Caenorhabditis elegans: one gene and its partners. The protein of the gene in region 2 interacts with the protein of the main gene of each other region in a pairwise test. Each region holds a gene or a part of one and is shown on either strand. Other genes may lie near its edges. The genes, in order: sel-10, gld-1 and oma-1.

Region 1 (5,971 bases), on a different chromosome or scaffold from region 2:
TTAAACTAAAAACTAAATACCTCAAAGTTTTCACAATCGTCAATGCGACACGTGATTGTTCCGTGCTCTTCGCCTCTTTTATGAAGCATTCTAATTTTATCCTCTTCGAACATTTCCTGAATAAAATATATTTTTTTTGAGATTTGGAAAACAATTAAAACCTTCATTTGAGTCGGTGTTGCAGTACTGGCAAAGTCAACGTCAGCCGGTCGAATGTTCATAAGTAGATCTCGAACAGCTCCACCGGCAATTCGAAGCTCATAATTTCGTTTGGCGAATAAATCACGGAGTTTCAAAAGTTGAGGTGTGAAGAGAGTTCTGAAAAATATAGAATTAAACTTAAAACGATTCTTCAAATATCCGGAACTTGCCGAAAATCTTCATTATCAATTTTCATTGTAGTTGGCTCAATTTGATTCATGATGTATGTTGGAGTTTTTGCTGTTGATAGACTTCTGGTTGTTAAACTAATTATTGTAGTTGGGGTCAAAAATTTAGACACAAACTTCATAAAGCTGATATTCACTCACTGAAAAATTACAGGATAATTTGGAGAAATCTCCAATAGAGATATTAAAAGAAAATCACATATAGACGGATGACACGAATCGATATTTATTATTATGAAATAATTGTTATTAACCTACTTAATCGAATGACGTCTGGCATAAGTCGATAAAACGAAGACAAAAATTTTAAAAAAGGCAATGTCGAGGGTAGAACTTTGAATTTTGACAAGTAGTTTTTACGAAAAATGAAAGCGAAAAAAGAGGGAACCGACAGGGACTAAAAAGCTCATTAGATCAAAAAGAAGTCACATAAGGACTAACATACTGACTGAACTATTGTATAAAGGAAATCAAAATCTGGGAGTAGTGAGCCCATCATTTGAATAAAAATATAAAATCAATCAAACCCGATAACTTAATGGGAAACAATCGAAAAGAGAAAGAGAAGAGTGTGAGACAGAATCTGACAAAAAATAGTAAAAAAAAGAAAAATTATAGTGGCGGGCCGGGATATAACGAGTTGAATAGACACATAAATTCGTTTTTCCTCAAATTTGACGTTTCAATACTGTTGGCTTTTGACTATATTCCATGATATGATAGCATTGTTGATTTAAAAATGAGGGCATCGTGTACAATATTAGTTCCTAAGCAAGAACATTCTATGTACAGGGGCAGAGATTCGAGAATTCGTTAAGGGTATACAGCATCAAAGTCGAGAAGGATAACTTTGGTCTCCTCGGTGTTGTTACGAGATCCGACTGCACACGCTAGCATCGTAGAAGTAGAACAAAGTCTCCAAATACAGCCACCATTGCCTCCAGAATCCAAAGTTACTAGATCTCGAATCAGTGCACCTGGAAAATTTTTTTATGGGTAAAACTATCTGTAATTTATGTGATCTAACCTCTCTCAATATCCCACAATTTGACAGTTCCATCGTCACTACTCGTTGCTACCATATTTCGTCCAAACCATTGAAGTGAAGTGATAGCGGATCGATGTCCAGAAAGCATGTGTACACAAGTTCCCTCGTGAATATCCCATACCTGAAAAAATGATTTAAAAAAATAATACAATTTTTCAATGTTCTCACAATGTGAGGGTTACTTTATCTACTACGCTTTTGTGCTTTTCCATACTTTTGAAAATCATTTCAGATCCGTACACCTTTGTTTGCCATCGAATATTGGCTTTTGTAGAAACAGCCGCAGAGAGACAGAAAACGCAGTGAAACATCAGGACCAATTTTATTAATTGGAATTGGTCTCTAATTGTTTAACAGGAGAGCGATTCAGACTCTCGTACAAATGTTTAACTATGACAAGTTTCTCAATCTTACATCTCTATACTTACTCTAACATGGCTATCTGCATTGCATGACACGAGAATATTGCCTCGAAGTTGCATTCCGGATGTAAGTGAGGTGTGTCCTTGCAAAAGAGCCACACATTCTTGGCCTTCCGGTCGTGTAAAATCCCACACGCGAATTGAAGTGTCCAGAGAGCCAGAGCACACGATCGATCGCTCGCTTTCAAACTGAAAACAAAAACATTATTTTTCGGATTTTGTTATAAGAAAAACGTACGAGAAGAGAATAAACTCTATTGTTATGACCGGTCAGAGTACGGATACATCTCCCAGTATGAGCATTCCAAATTTTAACGGTAAAATCATATCCTCCCGAAACAACAGTTGTTCCATCGAATTGAACGCATCGAACGGCTGCATGATGGCCATGTAAAGTTGCCAGGTGACGTCCGGATTCTACGTCCCATACACGAAGAGTGGTATCTCGTGATCCAGTGACAAGTCTGAAAGTATTAAAATTAAAATGTATGGGTTGAAAGTGTGGTTATTCAGCGAGATTTTTCGTTTTCTTCTCATTTTTAAGATAGAAAATGTATTAAAAAAGTCTTAAACAACCAAATACACGTTCGTGTTTTTCTATTTTGAAACAAAAGTTTTAAAAAAATTACCATAAACTTTTTTTGTGAAATTAGATAGAATAATTTTCTTAAGATATAAATGATCTACAAATCAAAAACTTTCCATCAAGATTTGATATAGCTCGCAAATTAGGGAATTCAACTGTACGAAACCCGAAATTTTCAGTATTAAATTTCTTTTTCCAAGCAGTTATCATAGTGAATAGCCTTACATGGAACCAGCCATAGCCATGCATCGAACAGTGGAAGTATGTCCTTGAAGTGTATGAAGAAGTGAACCATCTACAGTACTCCAAACTTTTACAGTTCTATCAGTGGACCCGCTAACAATATATCTTCCGCATTGAGAAATCTGTGATGTCCAAACTCCTCCAGTGTGGCCGACTAGTGTGTACATAACCTCTCCTTTGTCAATACACCATACTTTAAGAGTGTTATCGTCAGATCCAGTCACCAAGACATCATCATGAATTTGCATACAAGTGATTACATGATCTTCGTGTCCTCGTAGCACTGCTGACCCCATAATTGGATTCGCATTCCAGTTCTTTTCAATTTTATCGGCTCGAAGATAACGTGACTTGTCAGCAGCGCGTTCGAAGATACTGAAAATAAATCGAATGTGATCGGAACGTCTTTAAAAATAATATTTCCAATAAACGTACTCTCCAAACTTCTGCAACTTTAGAAATCGATGAACATTAAGATCACATGGCTGAATGTGATCAGGAATAGTGACTCCAGCAGCAATTGCAGTTCCTTGCCACGCACCAGTAACTCGGTCTCTGAAAAGATAATACTAATCTCAAATAATTCCCGTTCAAAAGTATTACGTGGGATCTGGATGATGTTTAAACTCTTCGACACCAAGACTCTTCCAAATTTTGTCAATTTCAGATATCAATTTCCAATTTTTCGACACCTGTGCCACTTTGAGCAGGTCATATCCGGTTAAATTGTGAAGGATTTTCATTCCGAGCTGAAAAAGTTATATTTATAATTTTTCTTTCCGTTTCAACACAAATACCTCGACAGGGAGGCAGGAGAGGAAATCACGCTGGAAATGGGGTTCAATAATGGCACGCAGCTGTCGAATATTTGTCATGTTGGATTCCTGAAGCAGACGTGTGAATGCATCCATTTGTTCCGCGCTTGATAGATCCTAAAATGAATTCAAATTACACTTTTTTTCAGCAAAAATAGAGCGAATATGCCTGGCTGAGGTGCTCTCTTCAAGGTTTGGAAAAATCAATAATACACAGGTCACCCTCACCGGAGCTTGAATGCATTGTTTTGTCATGTTACTAATTATTGTCGCATTCAAATATTAATTTATTGCATGTGTATTAGCCGCAACGCTGAAAGATTGATCGCGACAATCAATCAATATGTTTACCTTGAATAATGCGATCAAATGTTCGACACGCGGATTGAGGTCGTTGTTTCGAGAGGGAGAAGCCGATAAATCAAGTTTGTGTTGCAAAGGTCTGGAACTGGTACGTTTTGCTATAAATATTCACTACAAAAAGGCTTACGACGATAATTTGTCAGCATTGTAGCTGGAAGAAGAGCCATTGCTGTACGAGCTTTCTTCTCCATTGTCCTGAAGACAAACATTTCAATTAGAATTAAATTATATTCTGAAAAGGGTTGTAAATGTTAACATACATTATATTCCATATCATTATCGGTAACAGGCTCCTGGTCCTCCGGTGTCATCGATCCATCATCCATGTGTACATCATTTCGTGGCCACATATGGCTGAAAAAGAATTGGAAATGAATAAAGGACAAAAACTACTGGGAATGAAGAATTTGAACACAAAAGGAAAGTCGATAAAACTATGATTTTCGTGAGAAAATGAGAAGAGAAGATGAAAGCTTTTTGCACGCGATATGCGTCAAGGCATCCAGTAGTGCGCCAATAACCGCTTGACGCATTTTCCGACGCGCACGTTTGTTCACTTGATGTTCACACGATGAAACATTTTCTATGCATATAAAGTGTATAAAGTTGATAAGATAACTTCAACAAATATTCTCGTGTAAAATAAAATATAAAATGTCCGACTTGTCGGTCACATAATCAGTTTCACAGAAGAAGCAGGTGTTCGATGGTCACTGCTGTTGCATATGACAGCTGGGTTCTCGTCCTTCATGATGGTGCAGAAAAATGTGTTCAACCTTGTTTCAAAATCATTTTTACGGAAAGGTTGTTTCGTATTGCACAAGTAAACCATCCTTATAAATTTCAGGATAATAAGGAATTTAAAAAACGAACTGCATCCCACGAAAACTCTTGTTTTGAAATTTTAAACTGAGTATATTAATTCAGTTTTTGAATAAAATAATACATATAGGTAATATGGTTTTTTAAAACAAGTGATTCAATTTACAACCACAAAAGAAAAATGATTTAAAATCTGTAACATTCTGAACGTAATGTGGTATTTCCATAACTGAATTCAAAAGAATTATGACCATCTGTGGCTACCGAGGGGGTAATTTTATGGAAATGAATACCATAAACTGACAGAAAAAGAGACACGAACACCTGCCACAATTGGAAACAATCGCTTTGGAATTTCTGTATAATATTTCTTCACAAATGTCAAGAACTATTTCTGATATGATAACACATTCATGACTAAACTGCAATTCCCATCTGAAATACGTTAGTTGAGTCATAGCTCACTATTTGCTCCATTTCTTTGTTTTTCACACTTTATTGGCTTTGTATTGCGGGGGGACGAATATGAAAGAATTGAGATGTGATTGAGAGGATTCAATTCATAAATTGTACTGATATTTATCAGCGAAAGTTAAAATTCATATTTGTCAGCAACACATCACATTTGCAAGATATATATTCAATATGCTAGAAATTGCACAAAACCGAAAAATACGATTATTTGAAATAGCCTACATTCTCTGAAAACGGAAATTCCGATTGTTCGACTTCAGGAGGAGCCACAATTTCCAACACTTTTGATATGTTTATTTAGTGAAATAAAAACTGAAATAAAATCCAAATCTATTCAAGAATGACGTTGGTATCAGACAATAAATTCGTGAAATATATTTTTATTTTCACGCCTTTCTACCTATATCATTTCGATAAAAAAAGGACGACGAAACATGAAAATAATTAAATTAAAATAATTTGGCAATTTTGATACTAGTCCAGCTCCAGTATGTCAAAAAATTCGATTAGTTGAAAGAGACCTGACCAATTCGGAAATTTCTGTAGAACGATTTTGGAAAGCTGAAAAAATGTTTTCTTGGAAGATTTTCACATTATAATTAAAATTTGAACTGCAAAACTATAGAAACAAAAACAGAATAAAAATGAGCTCTAATTGTAAATTTAAGGATAAAATCAAATACCAACATCATACGTGTTGCCAAAATTTAGGGTTTTCGGTATGGTGTCTAGAAAATGAAATAGTGGGTATACCTGATTTAAAATTAAAAAGTGTTCAGTCTGTTGTTAAGACTATTATATGTTGCCCA
Region 2 (4,703 bases):
TTTTTCACAAAATCAAAACTTTTTCACAACTTCTTTTTCAGTAATCCCAGTTTTTCTGTACCGATGTGACCAGATATGTATAAATTTTATTGCATCCAACAATCTCACACAGTTTGATTATTTGAAAAACTGTTCTGATTCAGAAAAATGTTACATTTACACTTTGAAAACTTTTTTCTAAAATTTGAATGCTATTTAATTTTTAAACTTTAAGCATCAACGAACACAATGGCCGATATCTTCAGAAAACCAAAATCAAAAATTCAAAAAAGGAAAATTTTAGAAGACGACGACGTTGCTGCTGATGGTATTTAATTTTTAATCTGATAAAATAATTGTTTTTAAAGCAAATGATAACTTAAGAGCATAACATGCATTAAAATTTTTAATGTTCTAAATTTTTTTTTCCAGAAGAGTCGTCAAGAGTTTCCGATATTCGAGATCTTCAACGATCACGAGAAAGGAAAAATGGTCTCACAGAATTAGAATGCGCAGTTGGAATTTCAAAAGCTGCAGCTCTCGAGGATGGAATTCAAATGGCTGGTGGCGGAATGGTGATGACAAGTAAAAAGAAGGCAGCAATGGAAGCTGCAAGCATTGAACAAGGACTCCGAGAACAATTCGAGAAGGAAACAATGCTGAGAGATGAACATGAAGAATTAAGGAAATATATTGATGACGGACTTCAAGAATATACAGCTGATACTTCTAAAATTGAAAAACAGAAACAACCTTCTTCATCAGCTGCAGCTAAATTTTCATCGCTGAATGCAGAAGATCGTGATGTAGAGCTTTTGAAACAAGCTGCTGGAAAAGTGAAGGGAAATCAAAGCAAAAAGGAGACAGAATTGCTTTCAGAGCATATGCTCGCAGGAATCCCAGAAGTGGACCTGGGAATTAGCACTCGTATCACCAATATCTTGGAGACTGAAAAGAAAAAACGATTCCTTCTTCAAATATCTGCTGCTGAAGCTGCAGGTCTTCCACCACCAATTGAAGAATGTGAAGAATCAAAACCAAAATATCGAAGACGTTTCAACAACCAGCGTCGATAAATTGAGATACACAAGTGTTTTTTATTTATTTTCCTGTTTAAATAAATTCGATTCATTTTATAAAACTCTGAATTGAAAGTATTCAATTAAATTCTGAAAAGCCTCATGCAAATCAGCGCACGGCTTAATAGGCGTGGCCAATTCCTGCCGTTTCGCCACCCGTGCGCGCATTTCTGGAACTTAAAGGAACATGTTGCACCGCGACGTATGGGTCTCGCAGCGATCGCAAACAGGTATACGGTAAAAGTTTCGAAATTTAGGACTTCACCTCAAAACTTTTTAGAGTTTTATTTTTTCGATGCTTTTTGGTTGTTTTATATTTCGTTTCATCTAAAAATTTTAGAAATAATTATTTCTATTTGAATATGACCACTTTCACATTTTCCTCGAATGTTTCATTCCGAAATTCTAGTGAATATTCGTTAGATAAGCTAGATGAGCGAATCGCCGCAGAGTTTAAGCTTATGTCGTTACGTTATTGAAAAATATATTATTACTAAGTTTTCTTACAGGTTAACCATCGAAGAATGCCGTCGTGCACCACTCCAACTTACGGTGTTTCGACCCAACTAGAAAGCCAAAGCTCTGAATCGCCATCTCGTTCGTCCGTTATGACGCCAACGTCTCTGGATGGAGACAATAGTCCACGGAAGAGATTCCCCATCATCGACAATGTTCCAGCGGATCGTTGGCCGTCAACTCGGCGAGACGGATGGGTACGCGAATTTTCATTTTGTTCATCAATTACAGTAATAAAAAATTTTCAGAGCTCTGTTAGAGCGCCACCACCAGCTCGTCTGACGCTATCGACGAACAACAGACACATCATGTCCCCGATTTCGAGCGCTTACAGTCAAACACCTAATTCGCTTTTGTCGCCAGCCATGTTCAATCCAAAGAGCAGAAGTATCTTTTCCCCGACTCTTCCTGCAACTCCAATGAGTTATGGAAAATCATCGATGGACAAGAGTATGAAACAATCTCATGTCTACTTATTTTTCTGTAATTTCTTCAGGCCTGTTCTCTCCAACAGCTACAGAACCAATCGAGGTTGAGGCAACTGTCGAGTACTTGGCTGATCTGGTTAAAGAGAAGAAACATCTTACGCTCTTTCCTCATATGTTCAGCAATGTTGAACGTTTGTTGGATGATGGTACATAACCGCTCTGTGTTCCTACAAGTAATTATTTTATTTTAGAAATCGGTCGTGTCCGCGTGGCTTTGTTCCAAACTGAGTTTCCGAGAGTTGAGCTTCCTGAGCCTGCTGGAGACATGATTTCGATCACTGAGAAGATTTATGTTCCAAAGAACGAATACCCAGACGTAATTTAACGAATTTCAAGTTTTCGAACAACTAAAACATTTCAGTATAACTTCGTCGGTAGAATTCTCGGCCCACGTGGGATGACCGCCAAGCAGCTTGAGCAGGACACTGGATGCAAGATTATGGTCCGAGGAAAGGGATCAATGCGGGACAAGTCAAAGGTTTGATCTTGTTACAATTTTATCTAAAACAAAGTTTAGTTGTTGAAGGAAAGTGCTCACCGTGGAAAGGCCAATTGGGAGCATCTCGAAGACGATCTGCACGTTCTTGTGCAATGCGAAGACACTGAGAATCGTGTTCACATCAAATTGCAAGCAGCACTCGAACAGGTCAAGAAGTTGCTCATTCCGGCTGTGAGTTATATGCTTCGTAAAATCTCTACAATAACCTATTTTCAGCCCGAGGGAACTGACGAGCTGAAGAGAAAACAACTTATGGAACTTGCAATCATCAACGGTACGTATCGTCCAATGAAGTCGCCAAACCCAGCTCGTGTGATGACTGCAGTTCCTCTGCTCTCTCCAACTCCACTACGTAGTTCAGGTCCAGTTTTGATGTCGCCAACTCCTGGATCAGGACTCCCGTCAACGACATTTGGAGGATCGATCTTGGTAGAACAGTTCTTCAGTTTAAGTTTCATATTTTTAATTTCAGAGCCCCACTCTCACTGCATCCAACCTTCTCGGATCTAACGTCTTCGATTACTCGCTTCTGAGCCCGAGCATGTTTGATTCATTCAGCTCTCTTCAACTTGCAAGTGATTTGACGTTCCCGAAGTACCCAACAACCACTTCGTTTGTCAACTCATTCCCTGGTCTTTTCACTTCTGCATCTTCTTTTGCCAATCAAACAAACACCAATGTGTCCCCGAGTGGAGCAAGTCCCTCGGCTTCTTCAGTCAACAACACCTCTTTCTAAAAAGTTCACATTTATAACTCACACTCCCTTTGTTTTGTTCGTTCTCACCATTTTAGGTTACCATAGAATCATGTGCCATACATCATGTTGCCATTTTTTCCCCCTCTCATCTCCCCCATCTTTATCATGTCATCAATTGGTATCTACCATCTCACTCCTTTAGGAATAGCATACACATACAGTTAGTAATAATTATGTAATGAGATACCTAATACCATTAATTCCTTTCTGTAATTTAAACTCGCCCTGCTGCTTTCACCATATGCTCTTTGATTTTTAAGTATCTTTTCCCTTTCTTCGCAGATCTTGAAAAGATATTTTAACATCAGAGAAAAACGGCAGGTGCCCCGGTAATAACATCTTATCAGGATAACCATTTTGGAGAATACTCATTGATACTTTTATTGATGCAGCTATTCCCCTACCCATTCATACTACCTCGAATGCCAAAGCACCCCCTTTATTTTTCTGTGTTATCTTAACGCTAACCCCTGTAGAATCTTCCCGGTTTGATGTAGTCATCAAAAATTTTTCATCTTTTCTAAATTTTTAGTAACTTGAGATTTTAATTTTCTTTCCCGCTAGTTAGATATGTTCAAATCTCACATCCCCATCAAACCAGCCCCAAGTCCCCATTCTAAACCCCTACCCCTTCCCAATCTGTCCATTATAATTTTAAGCACAAGTCCAAGAGCTAATATTTTTAGCAGTCTTTCACATTGACCATTTTCTCGGTACCCTGTTTTTGAGACCAAAATTTTGAATTTTGAAATTGAAATACAGGGCGAGATAAAATAATAAAAAATAGTTTTTATTCAATTTTTCTTCCAGTTCATGTTTTAAAACGATTAAAAAGGAAACATTAGTTAGAAACATTTTCATTTCTTCAAATGTTTCACGTGAGCAGGGATTCAAACTGTTTCCAATCCGAAGAGGATTTTGATGATAATCCAAGAGTTGATGGAGTTATCGAATTACTCAGTATGTGATGTTCTGTAAAAAAAATCGCCAGTTAAAATTATCAGAACTTTTCGTATGGCCTGCAGCTGCAATTATGTTAATTTTCCTTTTACTCCTGGTGAACAATTCGGTTAACATTGAGAAACAAAAAAACGTCCGGAGGCGTCATTTAATGGTATTTGTTATCGGTTATTTTATCAGGATCGTCTAAATAATAATATTTCAGAGCACAGTTCAAAATTGGCATATGCACGATGATTTTATTGCAGGACTTAAAGGAATTAGAAAAGAGGAAGAATGTAAAAGAATGATGTTTTCTGAAAAGTGTGAATATAGTAAACCGGTGGTCAATGCGTTGAATGAATATAAAAAAGAGAGAATTGAAGAAGTAAAGAGAAAAACTTTCGAAAAATCTTCAAAGAAAAATGCAGAAATTGCTAAAGTGG
Region 3 (4,165 bases), on a different chromosome or scaffold from region 2:
GGGAACTCATCGGCATTTTTCATTCGCTTTGCAGCCGGCTCTTCGCTCATATTTTAACTGAAAAAATTGAAGATTAACGGCAAAGAGAGCTTGTTTAGTAGAACAACAAAAGGCAGGGCGAGTTTGTAAAGCAAGTGTTCAACAGAATAAGCGCAAACGCACTGAAAATGCGCAAATAGTGTTGACTGGCGCATATTTTGAATAGAGCCTAGACACTTTTGATTTAATCAAGTGATTGATCAAGCTTACCCACAATTAACAGTTTTATAAATATCGACAATTTATGACCTAGTCAAGAACGCGAAGCTTAAAATTTAAAAAAATAAATGTATTATTATCGGTTAAACGGTTGGGAAAAAACTAATTAACATGCATGCATATAAAGTCTTTAAAACCGTAATGTTCTCATATTGAGAACAAAGCTAACTTGAATTGCAATATTATTTTGCTTTTTCATGGTACGTACTTAGATAGTTTTCGTGTTGGAACATATAACCTGATTTTCAATAAATTTGAAAATTGAATCGATCAAAAAAATTTACTACATCCTGCAATGAGGATCAAGAAGGAAATTTCGGATAAAAATTTTAAATGAACAAAGAAACGAAAGAAAAATACGTACGGGCAGTATCGGAGCCATTGAGAAGAAAGAAAGATAGAAAAAAAGAATCACAATTATGATCCGTGGCAGGTGCAATTTATTTTGAGATTGGGGAAGGGATTAGTGAGACAGAAGGCAATCGGGAACTCGAGCGGTGAAAATTGGAATACATTCAATGATTCGATGAATTACAATATACATCACAAGATTCGATATTAATTTCGAGAATTTAAAATGGGAATGGGCGCTTTTGACGATTGGGCCAAGTTTCTATGGGACAAGAACACGTCGACTAAAACTTATTATATTCACAAATGCACGCATTATTAGTTAGTATGGGGGACACGAATATTGAAAGTGTTTAAAAATTTGACAAATGTAGAGAAGTTGTTCACCACAAATTGAGATGCTTGGTCATATTTTCGGCCAATTGATCGAATCCTGGCATTGGAGAGAATGGTCCGTTACATGACATCATTGGATCAGTTGCGACAGATTTCATCAGAAGAGATTGAGCAACAGCAGAATTTGCGAAATATGCAGCAGCGGCAGCTGCGGATGCTGCATTGAGTGACGAAGAACTGAGATCCTGAGAAGGCGTGGATCCAGCAGATGAATATCCAGAAACTCCTCCAGGAGTATTTTGCTTTCCGAGCATTCCGAACGAGCCAGCATTTGGAGCGGAACCCAAAACCATCGAATCGAGTGGACTAGCTGGCCGATGTGCCATATTCCAAGCGTCTAGAGCAAACATCGATGGATCCAATGGCCAGCGAGACGGTGGATAGGTCATCGCACCTAAAACAGAGGTCATTAATTGCAACTAGCTGCCAATTTTTACCTTCCGCGTCATGCAATTCCTTCGTTGGTAGCTCATATCTTGGACCACGAGTACTAACAGGAGTTGGTCCTAGTGGCAATTTAGCCGCTGGCTCATCTGGAGTTGATGGCCTGGCAAACATTTCTAAAGGATGCTGAATGGCAGAAAGCGGGGGAGCTGCAATGCGACCATTAGTCATGATGTGCTGCTCCATTTGATCACGAATGTCAGCCAATGCATGGCGTTGAGAAACCTGAAAATGTTTACAGTGAGCAAAAATACATGTTTTCTTCTGACTTCAAGAAGTTTATCAGCGCGAATGTATGCGTTTGGTCCATGATCGGGATGAATGAAAAGGCACCGTTTCCCGTATGGGCAGAGTCCTGTAGTCGTATATTTGTCACAGAGTTTCGTTTTATACTTATTGTTCTGCAGCGGCTCGACGCTAAAAATTGGAATTAACATAATTTGTTTGCTTCATTCTTACAATGTTGGACGAAGTTCCTCCTCTCCATGTGCAAACCGGCAGTTGTCTGCGAAAGAACAAGTCTTAGATTCGAGCCAAGCTTGGCAGATCACAGTCTTGTATGATTCTGGTTTCTGCATTCGGGCTAATCCGCGGCGTCTAGGATCAAACTGTTGAAATGGAGGTGCAACCTGGTTGTTCTGGGGAAAACTCTGAATCGCGCGAACTTGCATCGATTGAATATGTTGGTTGCTGAAATGTAGTAAATTGAAGATATTCAGGAAATTAGCCAACGCACAATGCAATATCTTCAAGCAACTGCTTTTTGATAGCAATCAAGTTAGCAGTTTGAGTAACCAAATCTCCAATCTGGGCATTCGGATTAGTTTGAGACAAGTCCTTAGCGTGATCGAGTGGTGAAACGGGCAAAGTTGGAACGCCAGCGAGGGAGCTCTCGAGATGATGCCTTTAATAACATAAAATTACTTTTTCATTTGAATTTTGTTAAACTCACTCATCGATCTTCTCGTTGTTTTCACCGTTAACGTTCATATTGATGCAGTTGAGTGGATGTGAATAGTGTAAGTAATCGGGTGCAGGGAATGCTTAACAATCAACACCGGAGATACTCGATTTCCGGAAGATGTTGCGAGCTGTAAGTTCTGAAAAAGAAAATCAAATGATCCTACTGAAAAACAAAAACACGTTACATAAAACAATACTTGAGTGCGAACAAAACAGATACGAATGGCATTTATGAGAAAATATCACATTTTGGCGCCGGTGCACAATAAAAAAGTTTAAAAAAAAGTTTTTAATATAAATATGTCAGAATTTCCGGCCGAAAAGTAATATTTGAAACAAGGAATACTCAAGAAAAGCCTGAAAAATGGTTCCTTCATATTACGCGGGGGCATAAACTACGGTCGCACTGTTTTCACGTGTGCGATTTAAAATGATGTGCGTCTTTTAGGAGTACTGTAGGCCAAAAGTTTTCACGCCTATAACTGCTTGTAGTGAACTGATATGTTATTATAATCAAACAATTTATGCACTAATTTAAGTTAAAAAAAAACATATTTATTTTTTACAATCAAAAAATTATAGCGACAAACCCGTGTGAAAAATCAGGAATCTTTAAAAAAAATGAATGGTTGAAAATATCAATTAGAAACTTCAAGTTCATCTTCGATTGAAAAGGTACAACCTTCGAACATCAATATACGTCCAAATATACGAATAGATGAAGAATATTTCAAATGCACCAAATACCAGCAATGCAACTCTGAAATTGATAAAATAGTATACCCTAGGTTTCCTTTTTTTTTCAAAATCCCACCTTAATAAAATAATATCAACAATTTTATAACTCCGATCTTGTCCATTAACCTCTTCTCTAATTTCATCAGGAACTGTGATTGTCGATCCGATTACCGCTCCTGTAATCTCTCTTTTTCCAATTAAAAACTGTCAAATTTGGTCGTCCGGTTCACAATCTCTCAATATTTGCGAAACTGATTAAAACCACACCGAAAAAAAAACTTCGCTCACCAGCATATGCAAAAAACAGAATCGTATTCAAAACCATATATGGTAGTAAAAATTTGGGTCTCGCACGGAAAACTGCCATAATAAACATTAAACTGAAGGTGAGGATCATGGTGATAAGTATGGAGCAGATTACTGAAAAATCCATATTTCTAAATAATTCAGATTAAATTTATTTAACTGTACCAATAAATTCAACATAATTCTTCGGTGTTTTTTGAATCAATCTTATTAATCCATAAACGTAAAATGCAAATAAGAAAATTGCATTGAAACTGATTCCAAATATTGCAACTGAAAACATATTTTTTAATATAAATTTTTCATCGACTCCCTTAACATTCTTGTTACCCTGTTTTTTATAAATAAATAATCCATCGAAAAAAATAGCCTTGTTATTTATTTTGTGATCAGTATTTTTAGGTTTGATAACACTTGTAAAACAAACAAAACAAAAATGTAAACAATTTTATAATGATTCTCATGTTATTTTTGTTTTCAATTTTTCTATTATTAAGAGATAAGCTTTAATGTGTCAAAAATCAAATAAAAAAGAGAGAAATAATGCCTGCCTGCCTTCACCTCGCGCGCCTTCTGTACACGCAAACGTTGTTTCTTTCATTTGTTAATTTAACTTTCATCAAATAAGATGATAAAATAAAGATAATTGTGTAAATTAACACTGTGAGAACAAAATAAGTACATAAGATATGAAAAAGTAGGCAGGCAT

What was found.
Region 1: the proteins of gld-1 (region 2) and sel-10 interact in a two-hybrid assay, tested with the Caenorhabditis elegans proteins (one study listed by BioGRID).
Region 3: the proteins of gld-1 (region 2) and oma-1 interact in a two-hybrid assay, tested with the Caenorhabditis elegans proteins (one study listed by BioGRID).

Annotation. Positions count from the first base shown.
Region 1 is NC_003283.11:13,817,610-13,823,580, reverse strand, and holds sel-10 (F-box/WD repeat-containing protein sel-10), read right to left. Parts: upstream 4,221-5,971; 5' UTR 4,217-4,220; coding exon 4,127-4,216; intron 4,062-4,126; coding exon 3,994-4,061; intron 3,952-3,993; coding exon 3,855-3,951; exon of another isoform or gene 3,732-3,854; intron 3,621-3,731; coding exon 3,486-3,620; intron 3,438-3,485; coding exon 3,292-3,437; intron 3,244-3,291; coding exon 3,124-3,243; intron 3,064-3,123; coding exon 2,671-3,063; intron 2,324-2,670; coding exon 2,098-2,323; intron 2,049-2,097; coding exon 1,866-2,048; intron 1,559-1,865; coding exon 1,417-1,558; intron 1,367-1,416; coding exon 1,203-1,366; 3' UTR 601-1,202; downstream 1-600. Other genes in the region: hpo-31 (CCA tRNA nucleotidyltransferase 1, mitochondrial), read right to left, coding at 21-116, 162-318, 372-421. UniProt on the Caenorhabditis elegans protein: Probable substrate recognition component of SCF (SKP1-CUL-F-box protein) E3 ubiquitin-protein ligase complex, which mediates the ubiquitination and subsequent proteasomal degradation of target proteins.
Region 2 is NC_003279.8:7,694,114-7,698,816, forward strand, and holds gld-1 (Female germline-specific tumor suppressor gld-1), read left to right. Parts: upstream 1-1,567; 5' UTR 1,568-1,582; coding exon 1,583-1,771; intron 1,772-1,822; coding exon 1,823-2,024; intron 2,025-2,070; coding exon 2,071-2,208; intron 2,209-2,253; coding exon 2,254-2,378; intron 2,379-2,423; coding exon 2,424-2,540; intron 2,541-2,588; coding exon 2,589-2,732; intron 2,733-2,777; coding exon 2,778-2,990; intron 2,991-3,033; coding exon 3,034-3,297; 3' UTR 3,298-4,109; downstream 4,110-4,703. Other genes in the region: T23G11.4 (Hepatocellular carcinoma-associated antigen 59), read left to right, coding at 229-307, 412-1,055; T23G11.10 (uncharacterized protein), read left to right, coding at 4,188-4,278, 4,323-4,432, 4,484-4,699. UniProt on the Caenorhabditis elegans protein: RNA-binding protein which recognizes the 5'-UACUCAU-3' RNA consensus sequence. Binds sequences in both the 5'coding and the 3'-UTR region of rme-2 mRNA. Binds sequences in the 3'-UTR region of cye-1 mRNA. Binds to cyb-2.1, cyb-2.2 and cyb-3 mRNA.
Region 3 is NC_003282.8:8,887,360-8,891,524, reverse strand, and holds oma-1 (CCCH-type zinc finger protein oma-1), read right to left. Parts: upstream 2,550-4,165; 5' UTR 2,440-2,549; coding exon 2,402-2,439; intron 2,354-2,401; coding exon 2,186-2,353; intron 2,140-2,185; coding exon 1,909-2,139; intron 1,867-1,908; coding exon 1,719-1,866; intron 1,675-1,718; coding exon 1,443-1,674; intron 1,400-1,442; coding exon 993-1,399; 3' UTR 526-992; downstream 1-525. Other genes in the region: spr-2 (Suppressor of presenilin-2), read right to left, coding at 1-50; C09G9.5 (MARVEL domain-containing protein), read right to left, coding at 3,070-3,172, 3,227-3,326, 3,439-3,570, 3,622-3,729. UniProt on the Caenorhabditis elegans protein: Zinc-finger RNA-binding protein that binds to 5'-UA[AU]-3' motifs in the 3'-UTR of maternal mRNAs to suppress translation in oocytes and embryos.